Mus musculus: one gene and its partner. Each later gene encodes a partner of the first gene's protein in a complex. Links are inferred from orthologs where the notes say so. Each region holds a gene or a part of one and is shown on either strand. Other genes may lie near its edges.

Evidence for each region. The genes of interacting proteins can lie anywhere in the genome.
Region 2: the proteins of Irgq (region 1) and Gabarapl2 are in contact, whole or in part, in a crystal structure (PDB 8Q6Q), measured with the Homo sapiens proteins. The link is inferred for Mus musculus from reciprocal best matches to the Homo sapiens genes IRGQ and GABARAPL2. Residues at the interface, in NP_001007562.1 of Homo sapiens: Asp7, Thr9, Leu11, Pro47, Leu49, Phe57, Pro70, Trp71, Glu74, Pro181, Ala182, Gln183, Asp184, Gly185, Phe186, Glu187, Val188, Leu189; in NP_009216.1 of Homo sapiens: Ser10, Glu12, His13, Cys15, Val16, Glu17, Ala19, Lys20, Ile21, Ala23, Lys24, Tyr25, Arg28, Pro30, Lys46, Lys48, Tyr49, Leu50, Val51, Pro52, Phe60, Ile63, Arg67, Phe104.

What each region holds. Positions count from the first base shown.
Region 1 is NC_000073.6:24,528,973-24,533,621, reverse strand, and holds the start of Irgq (immunity-related GTPase family Q protein), read right to left. Parts: upstream 2,975-4,649; 5' UTR 2,718-2,974; intron 2,239-2,717; 5' UTR 2,237-2,238; coding exon 1,707-2,236; intron 357-1,706; coding exon 1-356. UniProt on the Homo sapiens protein: Autophagy receptor that specifically promotes clearance of misfolded MHC class I molecules by targeting them to the lysosome for degradation.
Region 2 is NC_000074.6:111,939,432-111,943,776, forward strand, and holds the start of Gabarapl2 (gamma-aminobutyric acid receptor-associated protein-like 2), read left to right. Parts: upstream 1-1,271; 5' UTR 1,272-1,387; coding exon 1,388-1,421; intron 1,422-1,728; coding exon 1,729-1,784; intron 1,785-3,070; coding exon 3,071-3,243; intron 3,244-4,345. UniProt on the Homo sapiens protein: Ubiquitin-like modifier involved in intra-Golgi traffic. Modulates intra-Golgi transport through coupling between NSF activity and SNAREs activation. It first stimulates the ATPase activity of NSF which in turn stimulates the association with GOSR1.

The DNA.
Region 1 (4,649 bases):
CGTAGTGGGTTGGGTGAGGGGTGACGGCAGGAGATGTGGCCGTGGGGCCCAGGGGAACGGTCCAGAGCACTACGTTGGGGCGCTCTGGAGCAGGATAAGGGGTGGGCCCAGTGGGTGCTGAGGCAGGCGCAGCACCTGGGTCTCCAGGATCCAACCCCAGCAGCATATCTAGCACAAGGCCTACATTGGTGGTGCCGGCCACCGCCAAGTCCAGTCGTGCGCTGCCCAGGCGCTCCAGACCAGCGCGCACCCACGACAGCGCCGCCTCCAGGCCACCGGTCTCGAAGGCCTCACGAACAGCTTCCAGCTCGGCTGCGCCCAACACCTCGAAGCCATCCTGGGCAGGAGGCAGGAGCCTGCAGGAGAGAGGGTGGGAGATCGGTCAAAGGCAACAGAGCTTTAAAAGTAGGAAAAGCTGGGCTGAACGAGCAATTACGGGAAAAAAAAAAATCTTTCTGAATCTCAAGAATTTAAGTAGGGAACTAATGCACATAGAAAGAAGGCACGGCCGGGCGTGGTGGCGCACGCCTTTAATCTCTGCAATCTCTGCACAAGTGGCAGAGGCAGGCAGATCTCTGAGTTCAAGGCCAGCCTGATCTACATAGCCAATTCCAGGACAGCTGGAAATACAGAGAAACACCCGTCTCAAAAAAAAAAAAAAAAAAAAAGAAAGAAAGAAAAAAAAAGAAAAAGGAAAAAAAGAAAGAAAGATAGAAAGAAAAAAAAAAAAACCAGGTGAGGCGGGACCATAAAGTTAAGAGAGTTCAGGGAAGAGCTTAAGTCCCCTAGAGGTCCCGCGGGTAAACTAACCTAAGGTCAGGTTTCCAACCGAAACTACGATGAGGACCCTATTTGGACTTCTCTTGATACAGATCAAGAGATCGGGGTCAGAGCTTTTCCAATGGTGTGCTGGTCAGGACACGTTTTCTATGGAGTGGGGCTTAGAGGAAGGCGAGGACATAATGGCAATTTCAGTATGGCCTATGGTGTCCCTGAGGGTGGATGTAAATAAGAGAGACCTCATCTAGTACTGGTGGGCCAGCGAGGTTAACTAAACAAATGAGAAGCAGCTCTCCAACTTATGCAGACCCTTCCTGAGTCGCATTTTGAGAACCATAAAATGAGACAGCTGGCAGGTGGGGAGGGGCTGGGTGGATTGGCGGGCAGTAGGCAGGGTAGAACTGAGAGGGAACTGGAAATGGAAGAACAGGGCGAGCAATCGGAAATAATGCTCTGTAAAGGTTTGGTGTTAACGAAAGGAAGGATGGGAGGGGAGTCACTTGAGAACCAAGCCAATGAGGAGGATGGGAGTGCTGGAGAGGGATCTCAAATGTTACGAGAGATGGGAGTCCAGCATCTTGTCTGACACAAGTATTTGCATATATATATATATATCTGGGCTTGTGATGCCAGAGAGCTTGCACGAAACAGGACCTTTGTGGTGGGCTTTCCAGTTGACCCTTGACGGTGCAGGCTTTAAACGACAGAAAAGTGATCCCTGCTTATGGCAGAGTCTCCATGATCTCAAACTCTGTGCTCATGGGTGTGGTGGGTGCTGTCCTACGCAAATAAGTAGGGTATGGACGAATGGGCAGCCAAGAAAAGCTTGCGTCTAACACTCTAGGAACAGGGCTCGAGAACTTTAAAGACCTCCGTAGCTGAGTTGGATCTAAGGCCACCCCATCCAGCCCGAACTGTCCCCTCACCTCTGCAGCGCCTCCGCCTGGGTCCGCAGCACCACCTGCAGGCGCTCTAGCTCCTCGCAGCGGTCACTGCTGCTGCAATCCGCCGGCGGCACAAAGAGAGGCGCAGCTCCTAACCCAGCACTGTTCAACAAGGCTGCAGTCTCATCCCGGGCTTTAGCTGCATTCTGGGAATCTCCAGGGCGCAGATTCCGGACAGCCAGCAGCGGGGTTCCTCTAGCCAGGGCGGCTCGCGCTGCCTCTCCCAGAGCTGGGGTCAAGGGCTCCTCGCTCCCCTCAGATCCTGGTAGCACCAATACCAGCAAGTTGGCCTCCGCCGCCCAGGGCCCGGGAGCTGCGGGTGGGCAACTCAGCTCACCCAGGAAGAGGCCCGGAGCCGCAGCTCTCAGGCTGGGGACTCCAGAGTCCTGCCGTCCATCGGGAATCTCTACCGTGTCCACATTCTTACCGCATAACGCGGCGATCAGGGCGGACTTTCCCGAGCCGGGAGGCCCCAGGAATAAGGCAGTCACGTCACCCTGAGGCAGAGGCATTGCTGGAAAGCAAGAGGCGGGGAAAGAAATTGGTCAGGGAGCACGTAAGACTTTTTGTTTGCTTCTTTTCTAAGACAGCGTCTCGCTGTGTAGCCCTGGCTGGCCTGAACTCATTACGTAGACCAGGCTGGCCTGACATTCAAGAGATCGATCCTCTCCCCTCTGTCTCCCAGAGTGCTGAGATTAAAGGCGTCGCACTCCCCCACACCAATCAACACCCTCTCCTAACTGATTCACTGTAGATCCAGGCTTCAGTCCTCCAGCCTGTCCTCTACTTCCATTCTCCAGTGTCACGCTGCAGGACCTAGAAACTCAACCCCCAGGGCCTATTCCTGGGAGAGCCAGGTATATGCCCATTCTCCACACGAATGCATTTCTCTATTTAAAAAAGAAGAAACAGAAGAAGGAAAACAAAAACCCTCAAAAACCTGACTGCCAAACTCGAGAATGGTCTTTCCCCTCCCCATTCCAAATCACCAACCGATCAGAGAGGTGACACGCCTGGAGAGCACAGAGGCCCAGCCCCTTAAGACGAGCTGACGGAGGCTGAAGGGGCAGGAGTGTCCGGATTTAGAAACATCCGGACTCCTTCAGGTGGCTCTATACTGACGTCATTCCTTCCAAGACCGGTGTGTCTTGGAGTGCCACTGCGGAGAGGAAGAATTTTTGGCAGCTCCTTCTTTCTAGCTAAGGCTGTTTGGGCAAAGGCACAATAAAACCCATGCGCGTGCGCAGAAAGTTTTGGGGCGGTGCCCCACCAAGACCAGCAACCAATACGCCTGCGCAGTACGTGCAGGGTTTGTACGGCAAAGGGGGACAGGAAGCGATGAGCCCACGCAGTAAGCTTAGCGTTGTACGGAGCACACAACCAACGTCATCATCACGCACCCCTGTACAGAAAAGGACCTCTCCACTTGCCCTTGCGAAGACTTGCCTGCCGTGACTATATTAGTGCCGGACTGCAACCTTGAACCTGACTCGGGGACAATGGTGGTGCAACAGATCACTGGAGTCTGGAGACTAGGAAAAACTATCCCGCTCTCGTCCGGTGGCAGAGCTGTGGCGACCAACTGTCAGGCGCAGCTAAGGGACAGTCTTCGGGGAGGAAAGCAAGAGGCGTCCGTGACCATCAAGAACTAAGAGCAGAAGGCAGTGCATGGGAGCAGCGTGATCCAGAAATGAACTAGTGAACGCGGGCGGCGGTGACTACGGTGAAACAGTAATCAATGTCAGAGAAGGATGTCTCCTGGGAGAAGGCGGGCTCAAGTGTGAGCACCACTGCTTGTGCGGGGGTTATGGTTGACACGTGAGAAACTAGGATGGGGCTGGTAAGAAAGACCAAGAGTTCCACCTTCGAGGGAATTCGGTTTCGTGAAGATGAGGACACAGGGGCTTGAAGACCGAGGTGTCACAAACCCGAGGAGTCTCCCATGTGAGACTGCTGAAGCTTTTCTAGTGAGAGTGTCATTAGAGTTCAGTGAGTGTCAAAAAATAGAGCGAGGCCCACTAAGGTTGGTGGCAGCCACGCCCCCCCCCTCTCTCTTTCATATCAGAACATCGCCCTGAAGACACTGTAGAGGGCAAGCGTCTCCCAAGGAATGGAGTCCAGACAGCCCAGGAGACGACCTCTTTGAGTACTGCCAGAAAGAGGGGTTGGGTGCAGGAGTGACAGACACTAAAGGGACCTCCATATCTCGACGCCCCGCCCTGCTACAGGTGGCCGCAGTGACTACCTGCCAGGAATGACCTCCTCTCATGATCAAAATTATTTCCCTTGATTTGGGCACACAAACAGAAGCAGGACGACATTTAGAGGAATAAAGGGCTGCCAGGCGAAGATTGGGTTGTGGGGTGTGACTGGCAATATCATTACCTGGAATGAGTCCCCAGGGTTCTTGTCCCACTTTCCCCCTAGACTTTCAATATGACTATGCTTCAGTTTCCCGTAGCAAACGTGTGCAACACGGGCTATGGTGGTAGCACACCTTTAATCCCCGAATTTAGGAGGTAGAGGCAGGCCGTTCACTGAGTTTGAAGCCAGCCTGCTCTATAGAGAAAGTTCCAGGACATCCAGGGCTACACAGACAAATCTTGTCTTAATAAACAAACCAAAACGGGCATCACAGCTCACTTCCATGGGGTAGTTATGGAATTAGCTGTCGAAAGGGGAAAACTTGACTTGAATGAAATTTAATTTAAATGATAACATCTACTTTATAACAGCTGTGACCCTGACTGAGTGTTCTCTGCACTGGGTGCATTCGATGCCAAGTATGGAGGAGTGACCTTGATTATCTCATTCGGCTCTAATGTCGGGCTGCGGTGTACCGCAGCGGTAGTATCAGTGTCTCACAGGCAGAGACCACAAGGAACACATCTGGCTTGGACAAGCTGGGATTACCGTTCAGTTTTC
Region 2 (4,345 bases), on another chromosome or scaffold:
ACTCTGTAGACTAGGCTGGCCTTGAACTCAGAAATCCACCTGCCTGCCAAGTACTGGGATTAAAGGCATGGGCCACCACACCCAGCTAACACAAAGTTTTAAAAGTTCTTTAAATTAAATTTTTTTTTCCTTAAGATTTTCATTATCTTCCCTGCATCTGGGTGTGTATGTGTATGGAGGCTTGCCACAGTGAATGCCTTGAGGCCAGAAGATAACCTTTGTAAACAGGTTGTCCTCCATCACTTGGGTCCTCAGGATTGAACTCCGTCTGGCAGGCTTGGCACCAAGCGTTTTTACCTGCTGGGAACTGAGTCTCTCCCCTCCCCCCAGTGGAAAATAACAAATACTTTCAGAATGAAGTTATAGCCACAGCATCTATCAGGAATTTCAACTGTAGGGAATGATTGATGACAAGGTTCAAACACTGGCTCTACAGATGCGGCAGATCATATAAGCACGTGGTCAGGTGGCCGATTAACTGCATATTCATGTTCTGTGTTCACCAGTGCATAAACAGATGGTGACCCAGAGCCGACTTCCTGGATGACTATGCTACGACTTGGACAGGGGTGGAACCTCGAGGCTTGTGCCTAGGGCAGGTGACACCCACAGCTCAGGGTTAGTGCCGAGCCACTCCCACTGCCAGCTCCTTCTCCTAGGGTGTCTTATGACCAGCTCTCCCAGGAATCCTCCCCGCCTGACACTGGCACTTCGCCTCTGACAGTTTCCGATAAAGAATCTCTGTGATCAGGGATATTCCGTTGACTAAATGAGTATGTGTGGTACTTGTTCATAAGTGTTCATGAATGTTTAAAATATGTATTCGTGAGTGGGAAGTGAGATTTGTTTAAATCAAATTTTAGGTGCAACAACTCCTATACTAGACCTCTAGGTGGTCACCAGTACTCGTTGCACACAGCGCTTGGAACAGGTTATCCCTCCATGCCGAGCTCCCGCCTTCTCACCCAGCCAAAAATTAATATTCATTTCTCCTTAAGCCCCAGACTTCCCCTTCCAGAGCCCTTTACAAGCGTTCCAAGCTATGAGCCATGACCTGCCTGTCATGCACAATCCTGAAACTCCATTCCAGTCACTAATTCCTAAAGTCTCCACTGTCACTCACAGACTTCCCAGCCACCTACGTCAGTCTCCATTCCCAGGAGCGCTCCTAGGTCTCCGCTTAGGCTCCGCCCTCTCACGTAATCGTAGCCTACTGAAGCTCTTACCAGGCCCGCCGGAAGCCCCGCCCCGGGAGGTTGCTAGGCTCCGGCAGCCGGAAGTCCCGCCTGTGGAGTAGTCGTCGCTGCCGCCGCCGCCTCCGTTGTTGTTGTGGTCGCTTCGCCGAAGTCCGCGGCTCGAAGAGCCGGCTCCGTCGCTTCCCGTCGCCATGAAGTGGATGTTTAAGGAGGACCACTCTCTGGGTAAGCGCGGTCGGCCTGCGGGGCCCCAGATCGCGGCCCCTCCCCCACTCCCGCCGCCCTGCCGGGCCCGCTGGGTCGCCAAGGCCCCGGCATCCTGGCGCCTCCCACGGACCCGTGTCGCCCTACGTGGATCTCGCTGGGAGTTCCTGAGGGGATCTGTGGCGAGGGACTCCGGGGCTAGGACTCGGGGCGTACGCACGCAGGCAGGTTGCGGGCGGAGAAGGGCGGACAGGAAGAAGGGGTTCCGGCAGCGGCGGCCCTGCTGTCCGGCAAGTGCGAATGTCAGCCTGGTTTTCTTCTTCCCCAGAACACAGATGCGTGGAATCCGCGAAGATCAGAGCGAAGTACCCCGACCGAGTTCCGGTGAGTGTGGACTCCCCGCCCCCTCACCCCGCTGTCACCCTTAGCGTCTAGGAGAGGTGTCGGGCGGGCGCGCTAGGCCGTGCAACAGTTGAGAACTTAAGGTCTCAAGGTGTAGCCCAGAGACCGAGGACAGCCTGGGGTTCCGCCGGCCCAAGCTTGGGGCTTAAGGGGCTGGTGCTGTCCAGGGGCACCAGTGCTGAATCTCCCGATCTAGGGCAGCAAGCTGCTTGCAGCCTCTCGGCTCCCTCACCAATTATGTAAGGAACCGTGTTCTAGGACAGGGCAACAGGTCACTGCCACTTTGGGGAATGATGGTGGAGGGAGACTGGCATTTGGGGTTGGATACGGTAGCATCCTTTCAAGGTAGTCATCTTTAACGCTGGACCTTTAACTTCGAGTTTCTCTTTACCCTGATTCTGCCATCCTTGTTTGACTAACAAATCTGAAATGCTCTCGTTTTGCCTCTAATCAATAAGTATGTTGCTTTATTTCTGCTTTCTGCCCTAGTTGGGGCGATCGTTTCTGATATCACTATTGATTTTTGAAGGACATAAAGTCTTACTATTGTAGTGCTTTGCTTGTAAACAGTCCCTTTGAGAAGCAGGAGGATAAATGTTAACTGTTCAGAGAGAAGCAACAGGCCAAATGAAAATGTCGGCTCTTGGGTGGCTGTAGTTGTATAGCTTTGCCCTTAGTTCATCCATTTCTTTCCAGTGTTGTTGGGGATTGGAATGCTCTAACAGGGTCTATCTATGGATCAAAAGATGACAGATGAAACCCTAGCCAGATCAATCTTTTCATCGGCCTAGATAAAATGTTAGAGAGCTACCCTTGCAGTGGGGTGGCACGTGCCTTCAGTCCCAACATTCAGGGGTCAGAGGCAGCTGATCTCAGAGTTTGGGGACAGCCTGGTCTACAGTTCCAGGACATCTGGGACTAACAGAGAGACCCTGTCTCTGGAAGAAGATAGAAAGCTTTGTAGCTGTGCTTCTCTTACAAACGCTGAGATCAGAAATGAGGAATATCAGTCAGCTCTGGGCCTCCAGAGCGGGGCTTCTTGAGCTGTGGGCATATTGATTTACTCATCTGTGCCGTTTCCCACACACTGCCTTGTCCACACTCTGCTCATCAGACTGGAGCAATCAAGCCCTGTGGGTAAGTGCTGGAGCTCGCTCTCCCTCGCCGTCCCTCTCACAGTGCTGGGAACCAGGTAGCAGCCTTTGTGGATTCCAGGCAAAAGTTGCTCTGTGGAGGACTGGCCTGAGCTTCTGACCCGTCTTTCCCAGGTGATCGTGGAAAAAGTCTCGGGCTCTCAGATTGTTGACATAGACAAGAGGAAGTACTTGGTCCCCTCGGACATCACTGTGGCTCAGTTCATGTGGATCATCAGGAAAAGGATCCAGCTTCCCTCCGAGAAGGCCATCTTCCTGTTTGTGGACAAGACAGTCCCACAGTCCAGGTAAGAAGTGTTTGCTAGCTGGGCCTGTGGCTTGGAAATCCATTCGCCGCTTATAAAACTCAAACCATAGGAGGTGTTCTTAGTACAACTTCTTCCTTTCCTTTTCCTTCCTTCCTTCCTTCTTTCCTTCCCTCCCTCCCTCCCTCCCTTCCTCTCTTTCCCTATCCCTCCCTCTTTCTCTCTTTTGGTTTTTCAAGATAGTTTATTTCCTCCTTTTTTTAATTAGATATTTTCTTTATTTACATTTCAAATGTTATCCGGAAAGTTCCTTATACCTCCCCCCATGCCCTGCTCCCCTACCCACCCACTCACACTTCTTGGCCCTGGCGTTCCCCTGTACTGAGGCATATAAAGTTTGCAAGACCAAGGGGCCTCTCTTTCCAATGATGGCCAACTAAGCCATCTTCTGCTACATATGCAGCTAGAGACACAAGCTCTGGGGGTACTGGTTAGTTCATTTTGTTGTTCCACCTATAGGGTTGCAGACCCCCTTCAGCTCCTTGGGTACTTTCTCTGGCTCCTCCATTGGGGCCCCTATGTTCCATCCTATAGATGACTGTGAGCAGCATCCACTTCTGTATTTGCTAGGCACTGGCATAGCCTCACTGAAGCTATATCAGGGTCCTTTCCGCAAAATCTTTCTGGCATATGCAATAGTGTCTGGGTTTGGTAACTGATTATGGGATGGATCACTGGGTGGGGTAGTCTCTGGATAGTCCATCCTTTTGTCTTAGCTCCAAACTTTGTCTCTAACTCCTTCCATGGGTGTTTTGTTACCTATCCCAAGGATGAATGAAGTATTCACACGTTGGTCTTGCCTCTTGATTTTTCTTGTTTTGCAAATTGTATCTTGGGTATTCTAAGTTTCTGGGCTAATATCCACTTATCAGTGAGTGCATATCAAGTGACTTTTGTGGGTTGTTTCTTTTATGTAGCCTTGGTTGTCCTTGAACTTTTAAACCAGGCTGACCTTGAACTCATCCTGCTGCCTCCCTGGAATTGAAGGCATGAGCTACCACACCCAACTTTTTTTTCCGAGACAGGGTTTCTCTGTGTAGCCCCAGCTGTCCTGGAACTCTGTAGACCAGGCTGGCCTTGAACT